Coturnix japonica: one gene and its partners. The protein of the gene in region 4 purifies or fractionates together with the protein of the main gene of each other region. This does not show direct contact. Links are inferred from orthologs where the notes say so. Each region holds a gene or a part of one and is shown on either strand. Other genes may lie near its edges.

The links.
Region 1: the proteins of WDR20 (region 4) and PHLPP2 purify together in Homo sapiens (affinity purification with mass spectrometry; 4 studies listed by BioGRID and IntAct, with this or other methods). This does not show direct contact. The link is inferred for Coturnix japonica from reciprocal best matches to the Homo sapiens genes WDR20 and PHLPP2.
Region 2: the proteins of WDR20 (region 4) and PHLPP1 purify together in Homo sapiens (affinity purification with mass spectrometry; 4 studies listed by BioGRID and IntAct, with this or other methods). This does not show direct contact. The link is inferred for Coturnix japonica from reciprocal best matches to the Homo sapiens genes WDR20 and PHLPP1.
Region 3: the proteins of WDR20 (region 4) and FBXW5 purify together in Homo sapiens (co-immunoprecipitation; 3 studies listed by BioGRID and IntAct, counting the BioPlex papers as one, with this or other methods). This does not show direct contact. The link is inferred for Coturnix japonica from reciprocal best matches to the Homo sapiens genes WDR20 and FBXW5.

The regions. Positions count from the first base shown.
Region 1 is NC_029526.1:17,702,873-17,710,428, forward strand, and holds part of PHLPP2 (PH domain leucine-rich repeat-containing protein phosphatase 2), read left to right. Parts: intron 1-1,206; coding exon 1,207-1,409; intron 1,410-1,892; coding exon 1,893-1,953; intron 1,954-2,678; coding exon 2,679-2,774; intron 2,775-4,484; coding exon 4,485-4,640; intron 4,641-5,397; coding exon 5,398-5,598; intron 5,599-5,736; coding exon 5,737-5,899; intron 5,900-6,267; coding exon 6,268-6,398; intron 6,399-6,779; coding exon 6,780-6,890; intron 6,891-7,330; coding exon 7,331-7,519; intron 7,520-7,556. UniProt on the Homo sapiens protein: Protein phosphatase involved in regulation of Akt and PKC signaling.
Region 2 is NC_029517.1:62,823,854-62,832,206, forward strand, and holds the start of PHLPP1 (PH domain leucine-rich repeat-containing protein phosphatase 1), read left to right. Parts: upstream 1-3,812; coding exon 3,813-4,905; intron 4,906-8,353. UniProt on the Homo sapiens protein: Protein phosphatase involved in regulation of Akt and PKC signaling.
Region 3 is NC_029532.1:184,153-191,167, reverse strand, and holds the end of FBXW5 (F-box/WD repeat-containing protein 5), read right to left. Parts: intron 6,938-7,015; coding exon 6,451-6,937; intron 5,969-6,450; coding exon 5,821-5,968; intron 5,508-5,820; coding exon 5,295-5,507; intron 4,678-5,294; coding exon 4,431-4,677; 3' UTR 2,749-4,430; downstream 1-2,748. UniProt on the Homo sapiens protein: Substrate recognition component of both SCF (SKP1-CUL1-F-box protein) and DCX (DDB1-CUL4-X-box) E3 ubiquitin-protein ligase complexes.
Region 4 is NC_029520.1:45,046,152-45,054,400, reverse strand, and holds the start of WDR20 (WD repeat-containing protein 20), read right to left. Parts: upstream 5,317-8,249; 5' UTR 5,239-5,316; coding exon 4,975-5,238; intron 1-4,974. UniProt on the Homo sapiens protein: Regulator of deubiquitinating complexes. Activates deubiquitinating activity of complexes containing USP12. Anchors at the base of the ubiquitin-contacting loop of USP12 and remotely modulates the catalytic center of the enzyme.

The DNA of each region.
Region 1 (7,556 bases), on a different chromosome or scaffold from region 4:
CCTCACCTTGAGTACTGTGTTCAGTTTTGGGCACCTCAGTACAAAAAGGACGTTGAGGTGCTGGAGAAAGTCCAAAGATGGACAACAAGGCTTGTGAAGGGCTTGGAGAATCTGCTCTATGAGGAGAGACTGAGGGAACTGGGACTATTTAGTCTGGGGAAAAGGAGGCGGTGGAGAGACCTTATTGCTCTCTTCCAGTATCTGAAAGGTGCTTACAGCAAAAGTGGGGTTGGTCTCTTCCCACTTCTGTCAGGTGACAGGATGAGGGGAAATGGCCTCAAGTTCCTCCAGGGTAAGTTTAGGTTGGACATCAGGAAACACTTCTTTACAGAAAGGGTTGTTAAGCACTGGAGGGGCTCCCCAGGGAGGTGGTTGAGTCACCGTATCTGGATGTGTTTAAAAACTGTTTGGATGTGGTGCTCAGGGACATGATTTAGTGGAGGGCTGTTAGTTAGGGTAGTATGGTTAAGTCATGGTTGGACTCAATGATCTCTAAGGTCTTTTCCAACCTGAGAGATTCTGTGATTCTATAAATCGTGTTGGGTTTTTCCCCACTTTTAGGGAGTTCTCTTTCTGAGGATGTGCAGGATTTGCTTAGAGAAACAAGGTCAGCTGAGCAGTGATTGAATGTACTGAATGATAGAATTGTTTGGGTTGGAAGAGACGTGAAGATAACCTAGTTCTAAATCCCCTGCCATAGAATGGGTACCACAGAATGTCACTTAGTACTCGAGGTTCCCCTTTTGATATTCTGTTATTGTGAGCTCAGGTAGCTCTTAGAGCTCTCTTAGCCTTTTGTTACTTTTTTTGTCTCTCTAGAGGTATTTTCTCCAGGTTGCCAATTGCAGAGTTCTTAGAAAGGGACAAAGAATTTTTTGTCTACTACAAAGCAGTGGAGTATCTAGTCTCTGCATTCACGTGCTCTGTCAGTGCTAGGTAACTGTCCACTGATCTCACTTGAAATTTATAGACTGTGGTCTTCAGAATTTCTTGAACACTGGGAAGTGAGTAGAACTGTTTCACGTAGCTGTGCAGACAGGGAACTGTTTTTCTTCACATTCACTGTCTGAAATCCATCGTTACTACTCATACATCTCACTGTACTCGCAAGAAAGCCTGCGCTGGAGCTCTTCCTTTCTTCTTACTCATGTACAGTGTTCAGTGTTCTGATTTCTGACTCTGTACCTTTTGTTTCTGAGTGTTTAGGCTGAACAACCTGAAGAGAGCAGCAGCTGACACGCTGGAGGGGAATAAATCTGTGACTTACATGGATTTGCGAGATAATCAGCTGACAGATCTGGATCTGAGCTCATTGGGCTGCCTGGAGCAGCTGCACTGTGAGCGGAATAAGCTGAAAGAGTTGACACTGAGTGGCTTCTCCCTTCGGGCTCTGTATGCCAGCAACAACTGTACGTGTCCTTATGTTCTTCATCTGCCTTCTTCCTTCAAACCCTGGGAACAAAGGAAACAATCTTTTTGCTATCTCCTCTCACAAAAATACTAATATTTACTGACATTATTGAGAGCATAGGTGATGGGCCTTCTGATGTCTACCCTTTGGGATCATATTATGGGTATGTGTGCACAGGCTGCACAACATAAAGAGTTGCCATCCAAGTTATTTGTCTTCTGGTGAGAATTGTCTGGGAGTCCACACATAGAAGCACTGTTCTCCTTTATTCTGGTGTCTCTTGTGGCAGACAGTGAACTGGACAGCAAGAAGCTGTGCTGATGTACGGTGTTTGAACTCTGTTGTAGGAAAGACAAGTAGAGACATTTTGTTGTGTCTGCAGAGTGAGGCTATCAGTGTCATTTACTAGCTAGTCTGTGTGCTGCTTTTCTGCTTTCCCTCTGGAGCTCTTCAATAATATTTATTTGCTTTACTTCATCAGGTCTCACATCTGTCAGTGTTTACCCGGTTCCTGGTCAACTGACATGTCTAGAACTTTCCCAGTAAGTGACTATACACCACAGATTATAAAGCAAGTATCTGAATAACTTTGGTGTTTTCTGCAGATGTTTTCTGGAGTTGTTACGCTTTTGAAAGAGTTGAGAGCAATTGAGAAAAGGCACTTCATCTCCACAGTAGAACTGGAAAGCCCAGTGCTGAAGGATGATGAAATTGTTGCAGAAGCCCCTCTGAACCATTTTCATCTGTCTAGGTGACCGGCTGTCCTTCAGCTGCAGGCTGTAATCAGCAAGACAGGCCAAATAAAGACCACTAAGAACCTGCAACAACTTACTAGGCTGAATGGTGGGAATCTGCGGGGCAAATATGTAAACTGTGTGCTGGTGATTCACTGTTGTCTTCATTTTCTTTATCTGCCCTAGTAGCAAGATTGTCATACCTGTAAAATAGGGAATCTGATCTTGCATCAGTTCAGATTTGAAGCACATTAGCTGGGTAGCATAAGGTGGCCTGTTCTGCTATATCAATGCTTGAAATAAAACGAAAGTGAGATCATCAGAGTCTTGCAACAGTAGTTCCTACCAAACATGTTGCATTATGCAGCTGGCCAAGAGATAAATGCCATGTGAGTAGCTCAGATACTGTGGTGCTTTTTTTTTTTTTTTTTTTTCCTATTTTTCATTTGTCTGTCAGCAGCCCCGTGCAGTGCTCAGATGGGGCATATTCTATATCAGGTGTTGGTATCTAGCTTTTTCCTTGCTCTTCTCAGCAATGAGCTACAGTGTGTCCCAGATTGGGCCTGTGAAGCAAAGAAACTGGAAATTCTGGACATGAGCTACAACGTCCTTGTGGAACTCCCATCAAGGTCAGCAGACTACTTTCTTGTACGAATCTGAACTTTCTCGAATGGGGAGCTGACTGGGAAGAGAGAAGCAGTGCTATTCCACTTACCTTATTCCTTGTTGTGCATATAGATACTTTACTTAATTTCTCTGTGCAGTTTCCAAAGTACTTTGCTTTCATGTGTTGAAAGAACTGACTTCCAAATCAACCTCTTGATTAACAGGGGCCAAATAGTTCCGTCCCTTGCCAGGAGTTTGCACCTGAAGTAAAACACACTGCTATGAATTAACTTTGTGTTACAGTAGTGTCTGTGAACGCAAGTTATAGATGAAGCCGTAACAAACCTTGCATCACTCCAGAGTTTTCACCAGTTAACTTCCAAAAGTAGATATCTCAGAGATATGATATAGTTTGTCTCAAAGGCAGCTTTCACAATCATCATCAGCCAACTCCTTTCTGCCTGCTTCCATTTCAGCTTCTGTAGCAATGTAGTAACTGGAAGCCAAGAGTTAATATGACTTTTTAATATTTTATTTATTTTATTGTTTTGTATTTTTAGTGACTTATTTGAGGTACAAGGGATATCATGGAAAGAACCAAAGCCCAGATGTTCTTGGCTGAACATGTGTTTAGCAGGGAGTGTGACTGTAATGAATGAGAGTGTCTGGGTCAGCTGTGTTGAAATGTGAATGCAATGGTAGGTCACAGTGAAGAAATGCAAATGGCTGAAGTAGTTAAAGCAGCAGTCATAGGAAATGTTCTCAGCAGTGACTCTGGTTATCAGAGACAAGATTATGTGCATCTAAAGCAAGAAAAGAATGTAGCAAGGTTGAGATAATGAGAACTTAGAAATTTACCCATGCTGATGGATGACAGAATGGTTTGCATTGGATGGAACCTTAAAGATCATCTAGTGCTACCACACTCCCCTGACATGGTAGGACACACTGCCCACTAGATCTGTTTGCCCAAAGCTCCATCCAACCTCACTTTGAACACTTCCAGGAATACAGAATTCACAGTTTATCTGGACAGCCTGCTCCTGTCTCACCACTCTTGTAGTGAAGAATTTCTTCCTAGTATGTAACCTAAAACTATCCTCTTTTAGCTTAACGCTGTTACCACTTGTCCTATCACTCCAATCCCTGATGGAGAGTCCTTCCCCATCTTTTCTGTTGGCCCACTGTAGATACTGGAAGGCCTCCATACAGTCTCCCTGGAGCCTTCTCTTCTTCACACTGAACAACCCCAGATCTTTCAGCCTGTCTTCATAGGAAAAGTGCTCCAGCCCCTGATAATTTTCATGGCCCTCCCTCTGTGCTAATAGGTTCTCCTCCTTCTTAGGTTGTATGAAAAAGACCACATTTTAAGTGTGTTACATATAACAAACATGCAAAAGGCAGACTCAGAAACACATATTTTTAAAAATTCAAGTGTTTTTAGAGATTTTTAAGTGCTGGAATTTACTGTATCCCCACTGGGGATTTTTTCATTGTGTGTCTGCTATCAACCCTGTGGATATATCTTGTTTCAAGTTCCAACTTTGCTAATATGGACTTTGAGCTATCAGGGTTATCCAGCAGATTAAAGCATGAAAAAGCCTTGCACAACGACTTATAGTCATAAAATTGTTGGTTTTTTTTTTATCATCTGAAAATAAAATTGTCCCCATTCTACAGATGGGAAGAGGGAGGACTGAACCAAGCTGAACTAACGAACCCTCTCTTTCTAGGATCCTCAGCAGCTTGAGCCTTCGGAAACTGATAGTGGGGTACAATAATCTTCAGAGCCTTCCACCTCTTCAAGAGCACATTCCAATGGAAGTGCTGGACCTTCAGCACAACCTATTGACTAAACTCCCTGAGACGCTCTTTGTCAAGGCCCTGAAGTGAGTGACAGTATCATGGATGTTCTCTGTTAACCTTTGAAGCTGTGAAGGTGATATTTGCGTGACTGTCCTTGTGAGATGCTGTGAGCTTTATTGACATTTGCGTGAGAGATTATGATGAGGTAATTCAGGTGCTATGAGAAATCATCCAGCCAGTGTGAGAGAATTGGTCCATGTTAATATTTAATTACAGGAAAACAGATATGTGCCTAACCTAGCAGCCAACCATGGTATTAACTTCAGTTGCAACTGCTTCTAAGGTCATGTTACTACTTGGCACGCTTTGTCTTTAGAATGAATTTATTAATTTGGGAGCAAAGAAAGGCCATACAGATTATCAGATGTTACTGCAGAAATACAACAGGTATTTCTCAAAAGAAAAGCAAGAGAAATCTCTACTCTTTGTCTATTCAGACTTGAGTCAACCTTTCTTAAAAGACTCCAAGTAAAAGTTCATGTAGTTTCCTTCTACCAGTATTGTCTACTTTCTCCATCTATTCTACAGTACTCACTGTTTACTGTAAAATGCTGCATGCATCTGCAGTGACATGTAGCTAATGGTCATTTGTAGACTCATAAATCTTAATGTGATTAGGGATATTACACTGTGTTGTCTGACTTGCCTGCCTACTGCTCTTTGTCCATCTGCATAGGCAATTTTATAGCTGTATTAGCAACCTTTCCTGCTGTTAGTGGAGTGGTTTAGATGAAGTGATTTTTTTTCTTTTTTTTTTTTTTTTTCATTTCCTGTGGTCAGCCTCAGGTATCTGAATGCTTCTGCGAATAGCCTGGAGTCCTTGCCCTCTGCATGTACAGGGGAGGAGAGTCTGAGCATGCTGCAGCTGCTTTACTTGACCAATAACAACCTCACAGATCAATGCATCCCTGTCTTGGTGGGACATCCGAACCTACGGATCCTGCATCTGGCAAACAACAACCTTCAGGCTTTCCCTGCAAGGTAAATGCATAACTCGTGGTCTCATATCAGTGAATTAGAAATGTAGCTTGTAAGGGACAATGTCTGTGGATGCTGTATCTGCAGGTCCAGGAAGTGATAAATTCTGACATTTAGGATATGCTATTGTTTCCCTTTCAGCAAACTCAGTAAGCTGGAACACTTGGAAGAGCTGAATCTGAGTGGCAACAAACTGAAAACAATTCCCACAACTGTGGCAAACTGCAAGTTACTTCATACACTTATTGCTCACTCTAATGACATCAGCATCTTTCCAGAGATCCTGCATTTGCCTCGTATACAGGTATTCTTACCTTACATATAGTGAGGTATCAGGAGGAAGCTTGGGTTGGAGAATTGTAAGTAACTGCTACAAGAGGAACTGGAGATCTCAGTATTTTGCTCAGTCAGCTCGTAAAGAGGGCACAAAATACACATAGAAGATCTGTTGCCTTTCTTAACTGACTGAAGATGGCTCAACTCACATTCTTTGCCACTGTTCATGACCTTGGCTTATAGGTCATCGCCATTTTCGTGAGCTGTTTGTGGGATACGGTTGTTAGTGGGATTTATCTGATGTTAGCACAGAGCACTGGAATAACTGGTAACTGATCACATGAAAGAATAGAGAATATGTTCTTTGTCATCATGCTTTTTTTTTTTCTGCTGCAGATAGTGGACTTGAGTTGCAATGAATTAAATGAAATCCTAATCCCTGAGGCACTGCCAGCTGCTTTGCAAGAGCTGGACCTGACTGGAAACACAAAGCTGGTGCTAGAACACAAGACACTGGATATCTTCAGGTGAGAGTCAGGGAGTTGCAAAGCTAGTTGTGACAGGTATGGGGAAGGGGAAGTTTCCCAGGAGAGGAAATGGGCTAGCACCATATATAACACAACTTTGTGTAACTTTACAGTGTTTCCTGCCTGAGGCAGCAGCTGACGCTTTCTGTCCTGTAATAAGGGAAAGGGCTGGGTTCAAATCATCAGCGAGAAACTTCTCAAGTGGACATTCTCCCAGCTGTGTCTGACCATATGTATTCTGACATCATCAGAATGCCAGGACATTGAATTCCTGTATTTGCTACTGTGTAAAATTCTTGAGTGGATGTGGTCCTTTGGAACAAGCTGTTCAACATGGTGGCTGGGAGAGAAGAATTATTTTGTTTTCTTCTCTCTCCATAGTCACATTACCACGCTGAAGATTGATTCTAAGCCCTCCCTCCCAACAGACTCAGCACTCACTTCTACTTTTTGGAGTCATGGAGTAGCTGAGATGGCTGGGCAAAGAAACAAGTGAGTATCCTGGTTTATTGGACTCTGATGTTTTGGCTCCTCAAGTTGCTATGTGAAGTGCATTGCTAAACTTCCAAGCAGACATGTTTTGCTGAGTAGCTCATCCATTCCCATCTCTCTGAATCTCTTGCATAGTGTCAAGATTGCTTACCCTTGTCATGCTTATCTTGGGATCCTTGGGCAAGGCTTTCCCACTCTAGAAGAGTTGCTTTTGCTATTGCATGCATACTACATCCATTTTTCTCTTAGTCCAATCAAAGAGGGTTGAGGCATTCCAGTAATAAACAACAGCTGAACATGTTGTGGTGCAGTGGCTGTCAAGACAGTGGCTTTGTTGTCTCGTGAGAATGGTACTCATGGCAACATGCTGATGGCTGTGTTTTTGGAGACCATACAATCTTCTGAGGCAGATTAATTTTGCCTGTATGCTTTTCTAACAGGCTGTGTGTGTCGTCCCTGGCACTGGGGAGCTTTGCGGAAGGGATGGAGGCTGTGTATGGCATGTTTGATGGTGACAAGAACGAGGAGCTGCCACGTCTGCTGCAGTGCACCATGGCTGATGTGCTCCTGGAGGAGGTACAGAAGTCGGACACAATGTTCATGTCCAACACCTTCTTGGTATCCCACAGGTATGACGGTGAGCAAGCTGCTCCTGGGTGGGACCTG
Region 2 (8,353 bases), on a different chromosome or scaffold from region 4:
GATAAGCAGGGACAAGACGTTCCTTCAGCCAGAAAGGTGCTTCACAGCCTCATGTCCTGCTTGAAGGATGCGGGGACCTGAGCTCTGCCCATTTCCTTCTAGAAAGCTTAACGTGCAGCCAGGAAGGTACTGGGCTCTTTACTCCTCTTCCCATAGCATGGAAATAATGATATTTTTGCATAGTGCTTTGAGGTGTAGAGCTGAATAACATTTAGTGCTGTTGATATAACTTGAGTGGAAGTGGTTTTGGAATTAGAAACACAAGATCAAGCCTTGCTGAAAATGATTTAGGGGGCTGTAAGTACAAACAAGCCTGCAGGCAATGCAACTCTGCCATTCCTGAATATATAAACACAAGTGCAACCTGTTAGATAATTTAAAGGCTGACTCTATTTCAGGCATCAATTAATGGAAACTTCTCTGTTCAAGAACAGTCCTTAATCGTATGCTGAATCTAAAAGCACATTTATAATTAAGAGTTTTGTTGAATAAGCACCATCATAAATGCCTTGCTCGGCTGAAGACCTTACAATCCCGGATGAGCAGAAGCAGCCCGGAGCACACGCGTTGTTGTGTTTAAGCTCACAGCTGGAGCAGCAATCAGTGTAAATTTTCTGTTCCTTGTTATGTGCATACCCAATTTGCTCCTACAATCGCGACAGCCCACTGATTGATGAGGCATACAGGTGCATACCTAGCATTTTAAAGACTGCAAATCATTCACTGCTGATAAAATTAAGTATTATTGTCAGAAGAGCTTCCGTATGAAGACATTCAATTTCCCTTTACAAAGAAGGATATTATTAAATGGTCCGATTGGAAACGGGCCCTTTGCTCATCTTTCTCCTGCTCTTTGAATTATTTCCACAGTGGCAAATGTTTTGTCTTTTGCTCGAGTATTTTGACATTGAGATCAGTCCCTTGCTTCCATGTCTGTAGGGAAAATCCCCCAGACTAGAAAAACAGGCTACTAAAAAGAGCCGAACAAGCCCCCTAGTATTTTACAGCGTTAAAGGACATGAAATTCCTTCTTTCTAAACTCCCTCCCTAACTTCACGCGTTAACTGGAATCACTGGGGTGATTTATTTCTTCTTAAATCACGGATGAACGTTCAGCAGTGCCACTGATGATGACTTATAGCAGAAGAAGAATGAATAGAATTTTTCCCACATTAGCATTTCTCGGTGCGCATCCGAGCTTTTCATCCAGAACTGTCTCGTCAGCCAAGTTTTCTACAGTCGAGGAGTGAGGATTCAGTAATTCCCATTTAACGAAGGCATGCTTTATAGATAGGCTTTCTTTAAATACAAAACAAAAAAAACAAATTGGGCAATTGTTGCATATTTGATACGATTTAGAAATTCTCTTTGAGTATAGCTTATGGCAAAACTGGTTCTACAAAGGCTCTGGCTCTGGTAACTGGGTATATTACACAAAAGTCACTGTGGAGTTTCAAGGCCTTCTGGTGTTTTCCTGCCAGTGTCTACAGGCACGTACAGTTTGTTCGTTTGCTATAAAGACTTTTGGTACGGTATCAGAGTAATCTGTGATAAATTACTTTTTATTCCCTTATTTTTCTGTAGAAAGCTCCTACAGTCATAAAACTCTTCACGAAGGTTGCCAGACTCCAGCTGGAAAACTGCAGATTGCAAACCATCCTGTTTCATTTAACCATTCTTCAAAATAGCCACCATCGATCAAACTTTAGAAAAGGAAGATGTGCCTTTCAGCCTCCCACTTCCTCCTGACAAAAAGCAATTTCAGAAGCTCCATTCCCACATCTCACAGCAGTAGTTAATTCGCTGCAAAATTCACGATTCCAAGAGAGTTAAAAAGCATTGATCAGTGACTAGGAAATGGAGAATGGCACCGTTTTCTCATACGCCTAAGAGTTCAATTTGAATGTGCAGGTAATGACAAGATTTCAAATGCACTTCCTTGCATAAAGCAAAAACAACCTGGCTCTGTACCACCAGCGTTTGGAGATGCTGGGTTGTTACAGAAATCACTGCCTGACTATTCAGTGCAGCTTCCTGCTCCCCAGCAAATTGCACAGAGCAGAGACAAACCCAGCAGTTTTCCACCTTCTGGACCTCAGTGCTGCTACTTGGTTTGTTAACTGCCTAAAGCCCTTCATGAGCAAGGCCCCGAGCAGCAGGAGAAGCGAGGTCAGCTCAGCCCCTCGCCGGCTCGCAGCATCGTGCAGGGCTGGGCAGGAGCTCCTCCATCTCACCCCACCACGTGCCTGACCCGAGGCTACTGAAATGACCTTCACTCTGCGTTATCATAGCATCACGGAATCGTTTGAGTTGGAAGGGACCTTTAAAGGTCACCTAGTCCAACTCTGCTGCAATGAACAGGGACACGCACAGCTAAATCAGGTTGTTTAGAGTCCCCCTCCAGCCTGACCTTGAGTGTCCCTGGGAACGGGGTGCCCGCCACCAGTGTTCTTGCACTGTGTACGTTATCTTGCCTTGGGAGGCAAAAGGACTTTGTTTAGTCTAGGAAAGACTGCTCAGGGATACAGCAGCTGCCTGTAAGTACATTGGGGGCAGACACTCAGAATTAAAAACTAAAAAAGCTATTGGAGTCAAAGGGCAACGTGAACATGTGGGTACAAACCAGCCATGTGTAAATTCAGAACAAAAAGTGGAAGAAAGCTCCTGACCACTCGGGTGGTGCTGCGGGCAGACCCACTTGGTTCAAGACCAGGTTGGACGGGGCCCTGGGCAACCTGATCTAGTAAATGTGTATATTTGGTGGCCCTGCCAGGCAGGGGGTTTGGAACTACATGATCCTTGAGGTCCCTTCCAACCCGGGTCATTCTGTGATTCTGTTCACTTTGAGAGGACATTCAGCTAGGTAAAAAGACCTGGGATCCCAGGGATGGGGGCACACCTGATGTCCCCGGAAACCTCCCTTCCAGTTCTGCGTTCCTGAGATGTACCTGAAGATCTCCATGTTTTAGGTCTGTGGGGAGCAGAGCAAATCGGGCTGCAACGCACTCAGCGCTGCACCAGAACCCCTGCTTTACTACAGAACACAGCGTTTCCAATGAGCCTCTGGCATGAAGTTTGGCTGCCATTTTACAAAGGGTATTAGTAAGGAATAAGCTCAGGCAGATACAGCCACTTCCAACCCACCTCACTCAGCTAAAACACCCCCAGGAGCACGAGCAGATTATCTGAATAAACACTGCAGCGTTATGTCCTTGCGGTATGAGAGCTGGTACCTATGTGCTAATTGCATTGATCTCATTGTAACTTACCATTTCAGCCATTCACTTAAAGCAACTTTATATGCAGGCAGGATGGGATGGGGGTAGTGTAGTCATGGCAGCGCTCTCCTGAGGAGAGAGCAGAAGGCGGGAAGGCGAGGAGCGCTGGCCGCCGGGCCTTGTAGTCTCCGTGCTGTGTGGGGAATGGCTGCGGACTACGCTCCCCAGCAGCACCGCGCTCCGCCATGTTGCCGTCACTCGGTGTTTACGGGCGAGGCCCCGCCCCGCCGCGCGAGCGGTGCCGTCACATCGCGCCGCCTCCCCCGAGCGGCGGGGCCACTTCATATTCATGAGGCGCGGGCGGGCGCGGCGCCGGGCTCGCTGGGTGCCCGCCTCCCTCATGGCGCTGGCGACGGCCGGGGAGCGGGGCTGAGGCGGGTGCGCGGCGCGGGGGCAGCGGCGGAACGCTGCGCCCTGAGCCCCCCCCCTCGTTCCCGGGGCGCGGCGCCTCGCCCCGCTCGGGCTCCCCCCTCCCAGCGCCGGCCGAGCGGCGCTCCCGGCAGGAGGGCGGCGGCAGCCCCGGCCCCGCGGGCGATGGAGCCCGCGCAGCAGCAACAGCAGCAGCGAGCGAGAGAAGCGGCGGAGCGCTCCCCGGGCGGGAAGGGCCCGGCGACGGAGAGCGGCGCGGAGGCGGCCGGCGGCCCGCGGAGGAGGCGGGGGGCGGCCGGCGGCTCGGCTCCCCCCGCGGCGCTGGCGGCCCCCGTTGTGTCGGGCGGCGGCTCGCTGCTGCTGCGGCGGGGCCGGCTGAAGAGGAACCTCTCGGCGGCCGGAGCGCCGCTGGGCACCCGCAGCCTGGACAGGAAGGCGCTGCTGCCCAAGCCGTCCCGCCAGCTGCAGCCGCTGCAGCCCCCGGAGCGGGACTGGGTGCGGCGGGACCTGCAGCGGGGCTGCGTGCACGTCTACGAGCGCCACGCCAACCGCTACCTGCGCCCGGTGCTCTGCACCCTGGAGACCACGGCGGCCGAGGTGGCCGCCCGCCTGCAGCAGCCCGGCCCGCGGGGCGGCGGCGTGGTGCGGGTGCCGGGCAAGGCGGGCCCGCAGCCCCCGCCGCCGGAGGAAGGCCCCGCCGCGGGCACGGCCGAGCCGGCGGCCGAAGGGGAGCGGCCCGGGAGCCGGCGGGGGGGCGCCGAGGAGGGCGTCTCGCCGAACCCCGCCGCGCCGCCGGCGGAGCTGTACCTGGCCGGACCGCCGCTGTCGTGCCCCTCCCTGCTGGGAGAGCTGGGGCCGGCGGGCTCCGACTGCGAGAGCTTCAGCCCTAGCGCCGAGAGCGTCTCCGACCGCCTGGACCCCTACAGCAGCGGTGGCGGCGGGGGCTCGTCCTCCTCGGACGAGCTGGAGGCGGAGCCGGCGGCCTCCGACGGCGCGGAGGCAGGTGCGGGGCCGGGCCGGGGCCGCCCGCCGCCCGGAGAGTTGTCCCCGGAGGCGGGGGGCGGCCGGGAGGTGCCCGCGGGGCCGCCCGCGCTGTTCGTGCAGCTGCACGGGGAGACCAGCCGGCGGCTGGAGGGCCACGAGAAGCCGCTGCAGATCCAGAACGACTACCTCTCGCAGCTGGGCTTCCGGGACCTGTGGCGGGTGCAGGAGGAGGGCATGGACGCCGAGACCGGCTGCCTCATCCGCTTCTACGCCGGTGAGTCGGGACGCTTCGCTCTGACGCCGTCTCGTAGCGGAGCCGGGGGCGGGGGGAGAAGGGAGCCGCCGTCCCCGCCGCGGCCACCGTGAGGGCGATGCGTTCCTGCGGGCACAGCCCGCTGCTCGCCTCCTGTGCTGGGAACGGGCTGCCGCAGCCTTCGTCACGGGAGGGGAGAGCCCCCCTCTCCGTACAGCCTCGGTGACGGGGCTTCGGGGGGTGTCGGTGTCGGTGGGAAAGTTAGCTCCCACGTCGCCGTTATGCAACGGTGCTCTTTGACGGGGGCTTAAAAATATCTCTCGTGCGAAGATACCGAGCGGCGTTCAGCCGAGGAGCTGACAGGTCGGGGTTAGATAGGAAAAGAGCAGAAATAACTGCTGCGTCCTGGTGATGAAGGAAGGCTGGCGGTGCTGGCGAGGGTGGGGTTCAGCAGGTGGTGCTGGAGGGAGCGCTGCTCTCATGCTCCCGGCGGCCGTTTTAAGTTGCCCTGTTCTAACAGGCTGAATTCTATAGGAAATAGAAGCAAGAGACGTCGGTCAGCCTTAGGAGCTCAGCGACGCCTGTTTGCATGGAGCTTTTGCGCGTTGAGTGATGAATTCGACCTGCTGAATGCGGCTGCTTGATTTCGGTGTCGCAGCCTAATGGCTAACGTAGCTTGTGCGCCCTGGGCTTCCTTGTACGAGTCAAATCTGTAAGCGTACATAGGATTAAATGAATGCAAATGCGTTATGTAATTCCATAGAGCATGGCAGCGTGCCTCTGCGCTTCAAAAGTGCAGCGTTTCTTTGAAAACTTTATCTCTTTGGGGGGATCTGCGATCAACACCTGAAACACCTGTGATCCCGTGCTTGTAGCGCAGCATTTCCAGCCAAAAGAGTGAAGGAAGCATTGCTGGGATGTCGTCTGCTGACTTCCTGCAACTATCCTGGCAGCTCCTCTCGACATCCTTATGGTCTTTCATTTTTCTGCTGGGTGATGAAAGGAAGGAGACTTAAAAAGAAATATGCATCAAATGAGGGAGTCTATTTTGGCTGCAGGGTGAGGGTGTTGGAAGCACCTTTTTGATTGAATGATCCTCCAGGAATACCCGAGGGAATGCTTTAGCAGTGCTTGCCTGCTTGCCCTGGGCTCATTGGCTTAGGCAGGCTGCCTTGTCCCAATGGATAGCAACCAGCAGCTCTGTCCCCCTGCATTGTAATTTCCTGCAAGCAATCTCAGTAGGGTTTGATCCTAGTCTTGTACCGATGTAAAACGGCATAAACTGAGGCTGGTTTCTTTGCACTTTTGCATCTATAAAGAATTCTTTTCCCTAATCCCCTCGGAGTGTGAAGAGAACGCAGCGATAACTGCTATGCTTCTCTGTTTCTGGGGAGAGAGAGTTCTAAGGCTGGAAGATCTCAGTGCTGAAACAATGCTAAAAATTCCAAACAAAGTAAGGTGATCCAGCCAGTGATTTCAGCCATTACTGTGTGCTGCTCATTTCTCTAGCTGTGAAAATAGGCTTTTTGGAAAAAAGCCTCGGAAAGGGTAGTCAGGCATTGGAATGCACTGCCCAGGGAGGTGGTGGAGTCACCCACCATGGGAGTGTTCAAGAAACGTTTGGATGTTGTGTTGAGGAATATGATTTAGCTGGGAAGTATTGGTAATGGTTGGACTGGATGATCTTCTAGGTCTTTACCAACCTTGATAATTCTGTGATTCTGTGATTGAACTAGGAGAGAGCAGAGGGTCAGGGGTTTCACAGCGATGATAGAGCTCTCCTAATACGTAGCTCTTCACAGACATTCCGCAATGAAATGTCTGTTATTTTAACATGGTATTCTGAATTGAGGAGGCTCAGAAAACAAAATGTGACGCTGAGAATGTAGAAGTGCCTCCCGTGGTGCTGTCTTGACTCACTTCTAAATGCGGTTAGCTCATATTTGTTCTGCGTCTCCTCTACTTCTCGTATTCTGAGCGTACTCGGTTTCTTCAGCCTCTCGACCGAGCATTGCTGTGCAATAATGCTGTTACTAAAACAGAGCCTGTTACAGATGTAAGCATCCGATTCTGCCCCCTGTAACATTGATTTGAGCAGAACTGGGCATTAGTGGCAAGCCATGCACGTCAGCTTCTCCCTGTGTTGAAATCCATCTCAACAAAAGATACCGTCCTCGAAGTCTGGAGTACTTAATCTCTCTTTAAAAGGATATAGTTAAATAGCTTTCTGCTGAGATACTCCTTTACTGGTTGTGGAACTCTATAAGAACCCATAGTGCAATTACAGTCCTGATATTGTAGCTGGGAGACTGATTAGGTCAGACTTACTAAACCATTCCTAAAACCATAGCGGTGGCTGTGATCCAGAAGGCTTCTCGAAAACAAGTTATAGTATTCCTTATTGCCCTGTAAAAATACTTCTTGTAAGATGCGATTTCTCCCAGTGGCCTTGCGTTCTCTGTCATTTGTGTGCCAAAGGAAAATGGGCTAACACACCAATGGAGCCATTTGGAAGATTGCTGAAGTGCAGTTATTAGACCTTAGATCAGGAGTAAGCAGAGTCCTGTTCACAGAATCACAGAATTATCAAGGTTGGAAAAGACCTAGAAGATCTATCCAGTCCAACCATTACCAATACTTCCCAGCTAAATCATATCCCTCAACACAACATCCAAATGTTTCTTGAACACTCCCATGGTTGGTGACTCCACCACCTCCCTGGGCAGTGCATTCCAATGCCTGACTACCCTTTCCGAGAAGTAATACTTCCTAATGTCCAGCCTGAAACTGCCCTGGTGCAGCTTAAAACCATTCCCTCTGTTCAGCCCTGTGGAGCATCTACATGGAAAGGGACATGAGAGATTTGGTCTTGGATTATAGGACCATCTTGGGGCTTTGAGGCTTTGTTGCTTTCGTACTGCAAGGTGATGGGGTGTCTGATTCTCACACTCTACTGTCATTAAATTGTCTGCTCTCTGATGTGACATAGGGCTGCTGCACCTGATGGTGTCATCACATGTATTACTTTCCAGTAGGTGACTGCCTGTGGGCAGAAAACGAAGAAATGCCAGATGTGATTAAGGGTGTTAATTTGGCAACCGGCTGTCAGGTGTTGTTTATGAAAAGAGGCTTGTTGCTCGTGTGACCTTTTAGAAGGCTGAGAGGAGAAACCAATCCAGCTTTGTCTGAAACTTCACTGCAGAAAATGTTGTGAAGGTAAGAGTGGGAGCACGTAGCACAGGTCACCCTGTATGACCATTGGGGTCCCATGAAGACTTCCAGGTGCTGGGTGTTTAATGATAGATGGAAACGCCATAGGCCTGGCTGCATTTTGTGAAATACATATTGAGTCGCTGGCTGTTTGCTGCATGCATATCATGGTGAATAAATCAGCCTAGCTCATAAATGCATTGGTAAGCTCAATTTATGAGAACTGCAGGATGTGTGTGGTGAAGGAGGAAACTTTCCA
Region 3 (7,015 bases), on a different chromosome or scaffold from region 4:
GTCCCGAGGAGCACTGCCAGCCTGGGCCATGTGGAGCTTTGGAGCTGGGAAGCTGCAGTGCTGTGCTGTGCTGTGCTGTGCTGTGCTGTGCTGTGCTGTGCAGTGCAGTGCTGTGCTGTGCTGTGCAGTGCTGTGCTGTGCAGTGCTGTGCAGTGCTGTGCAGTGCAGTGCTGTGCTGTGCAGTGCTGTGCAGTGCTGTGCTGTGCAGTGCTGTGCAGTGCTGTGCTGTGCAGTGCTGTGCTGTGCTGTGCTGTGCAGTGCTGTGCAGTGCAGTGCTGTGCAGTGCTGTGCAGTGCTGTGCAGTGCAGTGCTGTGCAGTGCAGTGCTGTGCAGTGCTGTGCTGTGCAGTGCTGTGCAGTGCTGTGCAGTGCTGTGCAGTGCAGTGCAGTGCTGTGCAGTGCTGTGCAGTGCTGTGCTGTGCTGTGCAGTGCAGTGCAGTGCTGTGCTGTGCAGTGCTGTGCAGTGCTGTGCTGTGCTGTGCTGTGTGCAGGAGCTGCCTGCTGTGCTGCAGGCCTGCTGCCTCTGCTGTCTGCACAAGGTGGCACAGGGGAGCCCTGTGTCCCTGTGGCTGCATTTTTGGTCAGGTTTGCTCAGGGCAGGTTGGGCTGCAGCACTGGCAGCCTGGGACGTATGGGGCCACAGCAGGGCTGCCTGTGGGGGAAGACAGAAATGTCTGTCACCTGAAACCTGGTCTCACGTAGGGGTCTGCGTAGCCAGAGCAGCTGGCTCCAGCAGTGCTGGGAGAACAGTGGCTGGAAGGAGGCCTGAGATGTGAATCCGTACTCCTGTGATTTAACCCTGGTCAAGGGATGGTTGCAGCACTGTGGGCACCCCAACATGCCCCAGACCCACCGTGCCCTGCTCTCCAGCATCACTTGGTGGGCCCTCCCTGGTCCCTGAGCTCCTCAAGCCCAGCCCTCATCATCCTGGAGAGCCTTTGGTACCAGGGCTGGAGCAGTCTCTGAGGGAAGCTTGCTTTCGCCCTTGCTGTTTCTGGATTGCTTGCACTGCGCCCTCTTGGGCAAGTGCCCTGCACCTGTACCCCAGAGAAGGTCTCTATTTCGTGGAGAAGAGCCTGCTGTCACATCCCTCCATCGCGGCCCGTGTGTCCCTCTGGAGTTGTTTTGTGGTGGCCACGTGTAACACCAGACTGGCCACTGGCCGCGCTGGCCCCTCACATCTTGCTTCCTTTCCTCCTTGTGCTTTTCCTCCCCCATCCCACTGCCCCAAGAGCTGTGGGACTGGTGAGCTGGGAGGGCTGAGCCCGTACCCCTGCCCGGGTCCTCTCCAGCCCCAGCACTGCTCCTTTGCCCTGGAGGACAGGCAGAGAGGCTGCTGCTGCTGGTTGGAGAGCGGTGACCCCCCCCCTCACACCCCCCTCAGTGCTCAGGGCTGCAATTTCTGCCTCTGTGAGGGGAGCGCATCTCCCTCGGTTCGGGGCAGCAATTGCTGCCACCAGCCCTGTGGGTGCTGTGCTGCTGTGGGTGCTGTGCTGCTGTGGGTGCTGTGCTGCTGTGCTGCTGCGTGCTCCGTGGAGGAGCCCCTGAGCTCCACAGCCCCTGCCTGAAACACAGCGAGAGCAGCTGGGACTTAGAAGTGAAAGATGACCCCAGGCTTCTCTGCATCTGCTGCAGGCACGTATTGAAGCCTGGTGAGGGGCTGGAGCTGTGCCCACAGCGTCCCCTCTCCCTCAGAGCGGCGCTGGGTGCTGTGTGGGTCCTGTGCCCAGTTCCTTGCTGCAGTCCAACTTTGTGCAAAGGCGAAGGCTGCAGCTCGGCTGGGGGCTGTGAATTCTTCCCAGTCTGGGATGGCTGTGGAGTGGGGCTGGGATGCTCCTTGCTGCTTGCACCTGCCTGCAGCCTTGCCGCTTTGCGCAGACCCTCTCTGTGCCAGCCTGTCTCCAGGGCTCTGCTGGGCCCAGCAGTTCCACTTCACCTCAGTGCCTTAGGAGGGAACGCAGCCTGGCAAAAGGTGGGTTCTGTTCTGCAGCCCATTCTGTGGAAGCAGTTGCCAAGGAGGGACCCTGGCTGATGTCTGCCCTGAGTGGGTGTCAGCTCCGCTAGTTTAGAATTGGGAATGGTGTCCTGGGGGGGATGAGTCCTCTTCTGTCTTTTGAGCATCCCGTGGCTGAGGGTTAATGGCAGTGTGTGCTCCTTGTTCCTTGTGGCTGCACACTGCAGTGTGGGTGAGGTGCTCCCCTGGACGCAGCGCTGAAGCTGTGCTGTAAGATGGACATTTGGCGCACAGCACAGCAAAGTGGGTTTTTTTTCCCCCCTTTGTTCCTTGATTTCCCCCATCTGACCACAGCTACGAGGGAACACCCACCTCAGCCTGTCACTGTGAGGGAGCTTTTCCTTGAGGATGGTGTGTGGTGAAAAACTCTAATAAAAGCAGCGTGAGGAGCTGCTGTGCTGTGTAACTCACAGGCTCCATCACTGCATGGGGCTGAAGAGGCAGTGCCGGGCCAGGACAGCAGCAGGGCTGTGCTTGGTCTCCTGCTGCCACACTGCAGTCCTCACACTCTGCCCCATGCCCAGGGCTGGGGCTGTGCCCCTGTGGGGTGAGCTGCCCCCCAGCTCAGCTGCTTTCCTGCAGGCAGGGCAAGGAAGGACACCAAGGCAGCACTGCCCAGATCCCGTCCTGCAGCTTCTTCTGCAAGGGCTGCAGCACGTAGAGCAATATTGAACTTCTGGCTTCAGTTTTGCTTCTGTAGAAAAAATAGTACTAAGAAAAACAAACTTACATTGCCAAGATGCTTTAGCAGAGTATTTATTCAATGCCATGGTGAAGAGCAAAACTTGGTACAAACATAAACCCTCAGTGCCTTGCTCACTACTGCACCGCGCCAAGGGAGGCAAACAGGACTTGCTATCTTGGGGCAGGAGGGAAGATGTAGGAAGGTGGAGACTGTTCTGTTGCTGTGTGAGGGGACCAAGAGCTGGGTCTAGGATCTTGAGTGCACACCCATATACACACACACACACACACACAAAGGACTCCCTTGTTTCTAGAAGTCCTGTGATGACCGAAAACCTGAGTACAGGGGTTCTGGATAAAGCCATGGGCACCTGCTGGGTGCAAGAGAGAGCAAGAGAAGGGTGTGAAACCCTCTTGCTGAGGGCTGGAGGAGCTGTTAAAGCCATCAGTGCATATTAAGACAGCAGCCGCTGTCTCCATGAAGCCTGTTTGCAACCTGAGGCTGTGAGTGGCACAGACACCTGCCCTGCTGCTCCTGAGCTGGGGGGCCCAGAGCGTAGCAGCAGGTGCAGCCCCTGGGGTCACTGCTGGCCTGGGAGCTTCAGCTCCCCCTGTCTGGGCCAAGTGGAGATTAGGAGCTTAATTTTAGACTCTAACAGTTGGCTGAAGGCTGGAAAGAGAAAAGCTTCAGGGACAAATACAGAGTAAACAACACTGAGTTCATAAAGTGAGCCAGCTTCCCCCATCAGAGGAGCCCTCAGAGGGAGCTGATCACCAGCCCCCAGGTGAGTCAGCCCTGGTGGAAGGAGGTTTATTCACACTTATGGCTGCACCTCTGCCTGTTCACCTGCTCACAGAGAACATACCAAGAAAACCTAAAGTGCCACAACTCAAGTAGGGAGGGAGGTGACCATGAGACCCATCATCACAGTTTACCCCCTGGAAGGGACAGCAGAGCCCCTGGAATAAATATGTTACCGATGCCATAGCTTATTCAGGTGCTACAGAACAGGGGAAGACAAGGGCAAAGCCAGATCGGCGTTACCAGCAGCTCTCCCCATTCTCAGATTTGTAAACTGATGGTATCAGGATTTAGTTGTAAGAGAAGGCAATGGCAGGGCAGCCCTGCCCCTCCAGCTCTGCCCCAGCACTGCCTCCCCCGCTGCCTTTTCAGCCTCTGATCCTTCCTGCCATCCCTTTGTGGCCCAAACACTGTGTGGGGCGGCACTGGGCGCACCCAGCATCCAGACAAGTTGCCCATGGAGATTTGGGACAAACAAAACAATAATAAAACTACTATATTAAAAGAGACCCGCAGTAAGGCAGCACAGCACTGTACCACTGCTTGTGCAGGTGCTCTGTAGCCAGTAGCTCTCAGTGAAGTCAGCCACGTTCCAGGCCCACACAGTACAAACCCTGGAGACGCGCCTCAGTCTGTTCTCAGAGACCAAAGCTCACCCAGAGAGCTGTGACCAAGTAGCAGCGTTTGTGATAAGCTGTGGGGAGGTTACCCTGCAGTGACCACCGGACCCAGGAACTGGTCCTCAGCCCTTACATTCTGTCTTTGAAGCAGACACTCCAAGGAGGAAGCCATTACCACTGCCGAGGTCCCTCCAAACTCAGCTGACAGGATTGGTGTGCTCAGAGCTCGTCTCCGCTGTGCAGGGCTCAAAGCACCGCAAGCTCCAGAGGTGGCCGCAGTGAGGAAGCTGCAGGAGCAGTTATACCTGGGTTCAGCTTTTCTGGTTCATGAGCCAGGAGAAGAGCAGTTTCCTGGGCCTGGGCTTCCTGGCCTGCTGGATTCGCACGGTGCGAGGGGAGCGCCACACCTTGATGGTGGTGTCATCGCTGGCTGTCAGCAGCAGCTCCTGCTCCACTGGGCTGAAGGCCACCGAGTTGACAACGTTGTCGTGCTGCAGCTTGGCCAGGCAGATGTTATAGTGTCGGTCCCAGATGTAGCCATGGCGATCTTCTGCCCCGCTGCAGCAGACAAGACAGCAGTGAGGACACCGGCCAGGCAGGCTCTGCCTTCTGCACCCAGCGCCCTGACCCAGCCAGGAGCCCCAGCCTCCATCTGCAGTGCCATCACCCACAGACACCCACCCTAAGGGGGCAAACCCCCTTTGTGACCCAGGCCCTGCTACAAACACAAGTAGGTTTCCAGAACTGGAGTCTGAAATGAGGCCTCACAGCAGCATCAATTAAAGCTCTGGAAATGCAGCCAGACTCACGCTGTGGCACCTGCAGCAAACCAGCCCTGTTCTGGGCTGCAGTGAGCCTGCTCCAGCCACCCCAACTTGCCCTGTAACACCTGCAGCCTGCAGCCCTCAAGAAGGGCAACTGCCACCCACTGACAAACAAGCCACAGCCACACATTTCCTTTTTCCTTGCTGATTTCACAACAGGACCAGAATAGACATCCTGCAGCAGCACCCTCTGACTCCATCCCTGCTCCACACAAACCTCCTATTTCCTGCTCTGCTCACAGCAGCCTCCCGCTCTCGGACCAGCCCTACCTGCAGCACGACAGCCCACAGCTCAACACCCAAAGCCATCCCGTACCTGGGCAGCATCCTGCCCAGCCCAGTGCCACACACCTTGCCACAAAGTCCCTGCTGACGTCCAGGAAGATGAAGAAACACTCCTCGTTGGGTGTGTAGGCCCGATGTGCACGGAGGGCTCGTTTCACTTCCTTCATTGTCTTCAAATCAAACACGTGCAGATCGATCTCCTCAGCAATGGGGGGTGGCTGCATGGGGTCGGAGATGACACAGTCCCGAGGCCAGGCACGGCTGTTCACATACAGGTATCTTGGGGAGGAAAGCAGAGGGGTTACCCTGCACTCATGGAGCCACAGTATAAAACCCTCTCACACAGGCAGGCAGGGCAGGGACCACACAGCTGGTCCTTAGCAGATCTGCAGCTCTGAAACACAGGCAGAAAGTGGCAGCCACATGCCCTAATGCAGAGCGCCTCACCCCAGCCTGATGCAGAGAGGTTTGCCCTTGAGGCAGAAAGTCATTTCTCCTCCCATTCACTCCAAAGCCCCCACACAGCTGTAACCCAAACTCTCTGCTGCCCGAGGTCAGCAGGCAGCTTCCTCCCCCCTCCAGTCATACTCACCGGTGGTCAGGGGAGAGACCCATGCCAATTATGTGCCCATGGATGTCAATGACGTGATCCAGCGAGTCAAAGAACTCATCCGAACGTCTCTCCTCCCCAAGCACTGGCCCAGCAGTTGTCATCTGGTGGGGCAGGATCCTTTTAATCCCTTGGGAACAGAAAGGAGGATCGTGCCATCCATGGGCTTCTGCCACAAACCAGCAGGGCTGATTAAAGCCCATTGGCTTCAAGGAGGGACTTCCCTCAGCACTGCTAAGAAAGGAGGACTGGTTTGTTTCCAGTCAGGGGCTGAGATAAGGGCTGGCACAGGGCTCCTGTCCCTGCCAGCTGCTTCCAGGCTCTCGCTAGCAGTGCCTTGTACTCAGCATCCTCTATGTGTCCAATTGTGAAGATCCTGCCCTGGTAGCAACAAAACCATGAGGCAAGTGCCAGCAGGCAAACCACCTCCAGCTAGTGGAGGAGTCTCAAAAGCCTCTGGCCCTGTACAGAGAACCCAGCTTGAGCAAAACTGCAACTCACCACAAACATCAGCAAACAACACAGGTCTTCTCCAGATTAACATCCAGAGCGTAGCTGCAGCCCACACCCCTAAGAAGGCTGACGTGCCCTGGAGCTCAACCACAGCCTTACCTATCTGGTGCGGAGAGTAGGTGAGGCACCCTGTGGTGAAAATTAAGTACTTTGTCTTGCTGTTGCTGTCCGTGGAAAGCAGGTTCACCTCAGGCGGTTTAGTTCTGTTGCGTATGAACAGCTCAGCCACTTTGTTCTCCAGCTCAGCCTCAGTCATGGCAGGCCTCACACAGCCCCCCATGATATCATCAAAGAACTGCTGCAGCTCATCCTCTGCTGGCACACCCCCGTCATCCGGCAATTCCTGTACTGCTGGCTCTGGAGTCTGCTTGGGCTTGGACTCCTCTTCTTCGCTGTCACTGCCGAGATCAAAGACTGGGCAGGTGGAGGTGGAAGAGGCAGCCAGCTGCTCCTCATAGTCCAGGAGCAGGTCTGGGGAATCGTACCGGCTGCAGTCAGCCACCATCACGGTCCGGATAGTGCTGGCATTCAGATTCTGGATTTTGAACAGTCTCTTCACTACATTCACATTCTCAGACTCTATGCCCTGGGAGCAGAAAAGAAAAGTGAGCAGGAATCCCCTCACTACAGAGCTGCTCCCACAGCCTGAACCCATGCTGCTGGC
Region 4 (8,249 bases):
CCTTCCCACCACATTTTGAGAAAACGTGCTGTTTCTGCAGATTCCAGCTTCCAGACTAGAGATACCGAGCATTGCTCTTCCCAGAGAGAGCAATATACTAAGCATGGTGACGAATGCCACCCTTTACCATTCCATCATTAAGACAAGATCCTAGATGAACACTCTATAGAACAAAAGTAATCACCAAGGATAATACTTTTCAGCTGGACAACAGAGATTCCAATAAAGAAAGATATTTAAGAAGGCAATTTAGAGTAATGCAAAGGAAAGAATCCTATGTGTCATTAGTAGTTTTGCTGATAACCAGGGATTACCAGAACGCTGTGAAAGAAATTGAGATTTGAGCTTACCTTCATCTTAGTACAAACATAATTATTTCTAAGCCCATTGTTCAATGTAAGGTTGAAAAGAAAGCACACAGATTCCACCCTCCGTGCCTTCTCCAGCCTGAGCTCCCCACCTACCTATCTTTACTACGATACCATTATAACACACTCTAACATCACGCAGCCATTGACAGACTGCTGCTTTAGGTAGCTGCAGGAAAAAAAATGCAACTGAAGACGGTCTCTTTTGGCAAGAAAGAAGTTCAAAATGAATAATATCCCACTGTTGGGGTAGTCTGCCACATGTTAGCAAAGAAATATTAATATAATAAGCTGAATGACATTCAAATTCAGCAACAACCCAACACGTGTGGTAAAACCCAAGACTGTATACAGTGCCATGCTGTTGCTAATATGCACCTTCATATGATTGTATTGAAGCCTCAGCTGCATGCTGACTTGCCCAGAAGCCTTTATAATAAACAGAGTGAATACACTAATTATAGTGGTGGGGGGAAAGGGAAAATGCACTAATTTCCTAGTAAAAAGGGAAACAGATTGGGTAGTTAAATGTCAACAGCAATCTAGAAAGCCTTGACTTGTCAGTCACTCCTATGACAAGAAATAAGATGAAATAGCATGCTCCTTCTCAAGTTTAATGAATCCACTAATAAATCATTTTGCAAAACCAAACACAAACCAGACTGAAGTACCTCAAGACTGTCCCATAAGCAAGACATAGGCAGCAGCCCTCATTCCTGATGTGTGCTGCAGAAAAAGGCAACCCAAAGCACCAATGCATCATGGTTTGATAAATCATTTCTGAATGATCACCTTATACTTCAACAGAAAAAGCCTCCTCTAACATCTTCAACACTCAGTTAAGATTAAGTCAACAATCTCTAAAGAACAAATAATTCTCAATCTGACTTAAAAAAGCAGTAAAGGCATTGCTCAGGTGAGACCATCAGGCAACAGATCCAACCCAACAGGCCAGGAGGCAGCTTTGTTCCTTTCACTTTATCCCCTTCTTTGCTCTCACTGTGCTTGCTCATAACTAAACCCAAGGTGAAATGGTTCAACTCACCAATCCAAAATAAAATCTACCCAGAGAAAGCACATGTATTGAACTACCAGTTTAGCAAGCTAATCTTTGACAAGCTAAACTAGCTCTAACTGAGACTGAGCATAAGCAAAGCTAGCAAGGATTCAGGGAGCACATCAGAAAGATACTTCACTGCTCTACCATCATTTCCAGCTGTTACTACATCAGTTGAGTTCACAAAAATTCAACCCTTCAGTCTAACAGGAAATCACATCTCGCCTTAACACCAAAGTTAAGGAGGACTGAAAGACAAGGGTTACTGACACTCAGCATAGTTGAGAATAATTATATACTTAGATAAGTAAAGCAAAGTGGTTACCTCCCATTCAATCGCAGTTCAATTTTTCCTTTCTAAACTATACATTCACTTCCTTTTTCAGTGGATACAAACCAAAAATCAATAGTTTTCTGGAAGCCTACACTACTGTATCAACAGAAGGAGAACTGATCAAGTTTTCGTTACCCTAAAACACAAACAAAATAACAGACAAGAAGAAACCCAAAACAGTGGTTCACAGCTGGTATGCTTTCATTGCCATGGGATACATATGGTGATATGTTTCATGGTCATGGCAATTCTTTCTGGTAAGAAAATCTCTGAAGACATCTTGAAATGCTCCCCAAAACTCCCTTACCATTATTCCTATTACCATTATTTATCAGTACTCCAATCCCAACACGACCATCCTGGACATTGTACTTCAAGCAGGTTTCTTAGAAAATAAAACAAGCTTAAACAAATATCTTGAAAAGATTTTACATTCTATAGTTTGTATTTCCTAAACAGAACACATATGTTACCAGCGTACTTTAAAAGATGATTCACAAATGTAGCAGATGCAACATGTTTAGGATTTAATGGAAGCTAAAAGAAGGAAACTTAACATCGCTGATTTCAAGAAATGTCCTTACAAAAGTGGTACTTCACTTAATATTAGCATTAAGTGTCGTTCATGGCTCCAGTTTGATTCCTGCTTGCCATGTACTGATCTGCAATAGGTGAGTGATACAAGAATTATCTCAGCATCAGACAGACACTCCTCCTTCAAAGTCCTGGTGATTCGTTCACTCATTTTATTAAAAATATAACACTTAAAGTTTGCTCCTGTTCTTGCTCTGGAAAAGTAAAATAAAAGACACAGTCTTAGCTACCTGACACAGCACTAACTTCAACTTGTACTCTACTATCTTAACAGCTTCACCAACATGAAAATTATACTCTGAAAGTTATTACGGAACATTTTAAAGAGACACCTCAGTAACGGTGAAATAACTTAAAAGAGAAGTTGTTAACATTTGTATTATGCAGAGGGTCACAAATGTTTTGGTCTTCAGAGGAGCAAGTCCCTCCCCTGGCTCCACTGCCAAGCAAAGGAAGACATGCATAGTTCGTCCAGTTTAAGATGGACTTACATACTATCAATGTAGGTAGCAGTTGCTCCTTCCTGCAACTATAGCCAGAAAATAGGTAACCTTTTACATTAGAAAACTCCAATCATCAGTTGAAAGTGTCAGCCCCTTCTTCTCTCAACTCTGCACATAGACAAAAGCATCTTTCAAATGAATAGTTTCAAAATAAATTCCAAAGAAACAACCATTACAAGTTAAAGACAGCCCACCTTTTCTAGTCTGATTTTAAACACTTTCCTTAGCTTATTCCAGCTATTTCTCAAGATTAATTTTACAGAATTTAGCATATTACAGAAAAAGATTTAAGTATATTTTCATTTGTCGGCATTTTAAGAGCTGAGTGAAATGAATTCTGAACAATGCATACATTTTATATATTATATATATATATATATATATAATTTTATATTACTATGAGGAAAATAACATGCAATGCTATAACAGGTATATCACAAAGCTCTTACGTTCACAATCTGACAAACTAACATTTTCTCCATTACTGTGTAGCACAAAAGCAGCTTTTAGCAGCCAGAAAAAAAAATATATTGAAACATTAATCTCAAAATCAATTCTACAATTTGAAAAGTTACTCAGTCCCCTATTTCCAGTGCAGTCCCAAGCTTCAGATTTCAATTCTCTTTATTTTAAGCGTGGCAAGAGATGATTAAGACAATATGCAAGAATCACACCTACCATTGCCACACTACGTAAAGGCCTGTTCTGTAACACGCAAGAGAACTCCGCGGTTACTTTGTATGGAAAAACACAAGCTCAGGATATAAGAACACAAACATGACAATAGTTTAAATACTTGATTTTCAGAGATATTGTCACAATATCTTGTAAACAGTAAAGACAGCAAATGCTTAGAAAACGTTTGATATCTCATGACACGCTTCAAGAAATATTGACTAAGTGTTACTTAAGACAACTAGGTTAAGAGAACTCACTACAGTGCAAAACCAAGTCCCAGACCATTATACAGAACATATCAGATCTGTCAAGTCACAGTAAGCAGATAATGAGGTAGATTTAATTCTCCTGTAGATGCTTCTATTTTGCAGAGGAGCAGTGATTTGGGTGTTTGCTTAGCAGCCTGCAGACTCTGTTATGTAGCCTCACCTACAGGCTTCCTGCACAGTCCAGGGTGCATCACCAGCCCTCCACCTACTTAGTCCATGTTGTATGTTGGACTAAAGGCAGGGAGGCTTGAAAGGACTCACCTTAAGGGAGCTAAGTTTCAAGTATACGAGATAACAAACACCCATTTCTTGAAACATAAATCAGAAGCCTAACAATCATTACATCTGTGTTTTCATATATTGAGTGACACACGTTCATACTGTATGACAAGTTCCAAATGCTCTTCTAAATGCCATAAAGACAACGACCCTAAGAAACAACTAGTAGAAAGGATTTATTCATAAACACGATGACCTGAAACATCAAACGCATAAACTATAAGTCCCTCATCAAACGTTAACCATTAAAGAGTCTATCTCAAGTCGCACCAATGAGCGTCTTCCGTAAAAACAACTTTCTCTGCGTTAATTACCTGACATTTAAAACTCAGCTCTCTAGACTGCTCCCATTTAAGAACAACCCTGAAATCAGCCTGCACTTCAAAGGTATGAGACAGGCCTAATATGACAGCAAATCCTGCAGCCCTCCGCCCGAAGCTCGGCAGCCTTTCTCTGCCCTAACCGCGGGGATTTGACACCGCCGTAATCACGGCGGGCATTAGCTCCCAGCAACCTCCGACCTGAAGCAGCAAGTGAAGGAGGCTCGCAGTCCCCTTCGCTGTCGGAAACCCTGCCCCCATTCCTGCACAGCGAGCAAGGCCCAAGCGATCCCACCCCTCCCCACCTCCCCACGCACCTACGGGTGCGACACGGAACGTGCCATACCCCCCGGTAAGCAGCGGGCTCCAGCCTCCTGCCCGGCCCTACGCTCCCCCTGCCCCAGCGGCTGAGCGTGCAGCGCCGTGCCGGGCCGTGCCGCCGTCACCCCGCGGTCCCGCCGCCCCCCGCCCACGACGCGGCCCCGCGGCCCCTCGGCGGGCGGCCCCACAGCGGGCGGGTGGGCGGCGCGGAGGCCCCTGAGCCCCACAGCGCGGCGGGCGAGCCCCGGTACCTTGCGGACCCCCTTGTAGATGTAGAAGTAGAGCTCCCGGCCCACATTGAAGCAGAGCCGGTCCCCGTTGCCGCTCTGGTCGTTGACGTTGACGAAGGAAACGCGGACCGGGTTGGAGCCCTGCGAGTTGAAGGGCACCCGGTTCGGCCGGCTGTACTCCGAGTGGCTCAGCAGCTTGTACAGCCCCTCCCGGGTGGTGAACTGGGTCTTAATCTCGTTCATCTCCTTCCCTCCTCCCTCCGCCGCCATCTTGGAAAGGAGCATTCATCCTGCCCCAGTGCCCGGATGTAGCTCCACTGCGCAAACGCCGCCGCCGCCGGCGCTCGCTCGGCGCTGCGCGGAGCCGGCCACGCAAACGGCGTAAGGGGGAGGAGCGGCCGCCGCTGTTTACTGCGCCTCCGCGCATGCGCCGGGCGGCCTGTGCCTGGGCGGGACTGGGCGGGGAGGGGCGGGGCTGGCGGGAAGGGGGAGGGGGCGCTCCGTGAAGGGGCGCTCAAGATGGCGGCGGCGAGAAGGGGGAGTACAGGGGGTTTGTGTAGGAGCTGCCTGTGTTGGAGCGGTGAAAAGGGAATAAATATCAACGCGCAGCCGTAGGTGGATGTTTCCAGTCGACCCACCGCTGTCCCGATTCTATGGTTCTATAAAGGCAGGCTGTGCCTAAGGTGCCAGGCTGGGGAGTTGGCCCCGCTGAGCGTTTGTTAACTGGAAAAACGGGTTGTCACGTAAACCACGTTGTTGTGAAGCAGGTCAATGTCCTCCTCTGTGTGAGGGATGAAGTGGAACGGGCTGAAAGGGTTATTTTCCCCAGGGAGGCAAGGCTGTGCCTTCTGGTAACTGCATCAGCCTTGTGGTTGGCTTAAACTAATCAGAGACTGATCTCTAGTGTAGAAATGCATCTGACCTCTCTGTCTTTGGGTACCTATTTCCATTGCCTCCCTTGAATCAGTTCCAGTAATCATGCAACCAAAGGGTGAGTCAGATCAGCCTGAGAAGCGCCCTGCATGCAGAAATGAGAAGCAAGTTGTTGGTTGGCAACCGAGCTGATCCCATCATCGCAGCTGCTAGAGCCAAAATAAGGGAGAAGTTAGAAGTGTGCAGCTGTGGGAAGAGCAGCACAGTCAGACTGCCTTGTAACAATGTGCTTTCAAGGTTATTTCACATCTAGCTGATCTGCTCTGATGTAGCTGCTCCAATAGCTGTTGTCCTCCTCCCTCTTTTCTACTGTCAGTACCTACTGCTACATCCTTTACCAGCTGTGTTTTTCTGACCTTGTAATGAGCCATTTCTGAAAGACAAGCAGGTACTCCCTTCAAATATAAGGACAGGTTTTTATGAACAGGTTGGCCCAAGTTGTGGTGGATGCCCTGTTCTTGGAGACACTCAAGGTCAGGCTGGAAAAGGTTTTGAGCACCTTATTGAGCTGTAGATGTCCCTGTTTGTTGCAGTGGAGTTGGACTAGATGACCTTTGCAAGTCTCTTCCAACTAATTTGATTCTGTGATTCAAAGGTGAAATGACTTAAATGAGAAATGTGTAAGGCAGAGGGGACAGGAAATGCAGAGCAGGAGGGAAGTGAGACCTTGCCTTCTTTCCATTGGTTCAATCACAGAAGCCCACTCAGACTCCTGAGGTCTAATGCTTATTTTCAGATCAGTTTAATTCAAAGGGATTTTTAACTTGAAGCTAAATGTTGCCTTGTTGTTGATCATCAAGATATTAGTACAAAGTAGCTGACAGGAAGCAGCTGAAGATCTCCAGGTTAACTCATGCACAATGGAGATTATAACTTAGTGGTTATCTGAACAAGTACATATAATCGAACTGTAATGAGGCCAGGTATTGAAACCTTGCTTGAAATTCTTAAGACAAAGCCAATCAATAATGACCGATAGATCTTGACACTTTTATCAGCCAGCTGCCAGACTGTATTGATGTCCTCCTAGAAGTACATGAAGTAGGTGAGTAGACCTGCAATTATTTTAAAAGTCTTCATCTAGAGACTGCTTCTTTTATGTGGAAATTCATGAATGGACTCCCAGAGAGAAGGTCAGAATGTTTTCAGTCATAAAAAGAAGAGCAGTAAATGCGAAGATCTCTAAATGATGGTAATACTCAAAACAGACAAAGATTTAACCCCCCAGAAAAGTTGTCCCAAGTTGACATGCTCAGTATGTCTTATTTATGACGCACTGAAAATAGCGGGTAGAACGCTTTGAGAAACTAAGTAGGAAACTTTAATGGAGGGGTTGTGTGGAATGCAAACTTACTAAAACCATAGTAGGCCATCTGTCACTAGTGGAATGAGTGTGATCCAAAGAATAAATAAAGTGAACATGTAGCTGGTTATCAGCGGTATGTGATGGTGCAGAAAGCCAAAGAATTGATGTAGTGTTTAACATTTACCAAGAAACATCAATAAAAGCTGCTGAGAGATTCCACAGAGAATCCAAGACAAATATTCATTCAAAAAACACAGCTGCAAGTCACAAGAACGCTATTGTACAGCCCCATCAACAATCCTTACCAAACAGTTGTTTAAAGAATGGGAAAAAAGATTACAGTGATAAGCCTTATGAAAAAGTTCTCTGTGGCACTTGTAAACTCTTCTGTTTCAAGAGAACCGAAGATTGTAGTTCTGTAATGATCCCATTAGGACACCCATAGACGTGTTGTTTTGTATGCACAATCAGTGAACAAAAGGCAGTTGGAATCACTGCTATATTGTGCCTGTCATTCTTGCGAATGTTTTGGTAAGTTGGAAAGCAGATGTGAGCAAAATTCACTAACATTAATAAAAGAATATGGCCTTCTGAAATTGATGCATAAATTGGTCCTACAGCTTTTGGGGCTGCAGTATAAGTAGTGCTTTTGCTGGCCTTGAGAAAAAAGCCTTAAAACTGAGTTAATCCAAACACAGTTATTAACAAAACTTTTCTATGCTTGAATTGGAATGTTGTCTGTTACTCCCCTGCAAGTGCAACAGCTGAGATCAGTGGTGGTTTCAGTGATGCTTTTATCAGCACTACTGGGGGGGGGAAGTGACTACACCCTATTCCATCATGCTAAAAGCATCTCTTCTGGTATGCACTGCCAGCAGATTATGAGGCAGAAATCAGGAGCCCATCTCTGTAGTATTTATCAACTGTAGTATGTCTGTCATGTGTGGCTTGGGCTACTGATGCTAAAAGGATTTCAGGTATCTAATGGGTGACCAGAGTATCAAAAGCTTTGCAGTGTGTTACTTCTTACCAAATTATTGATGTGTGTGAATTACTA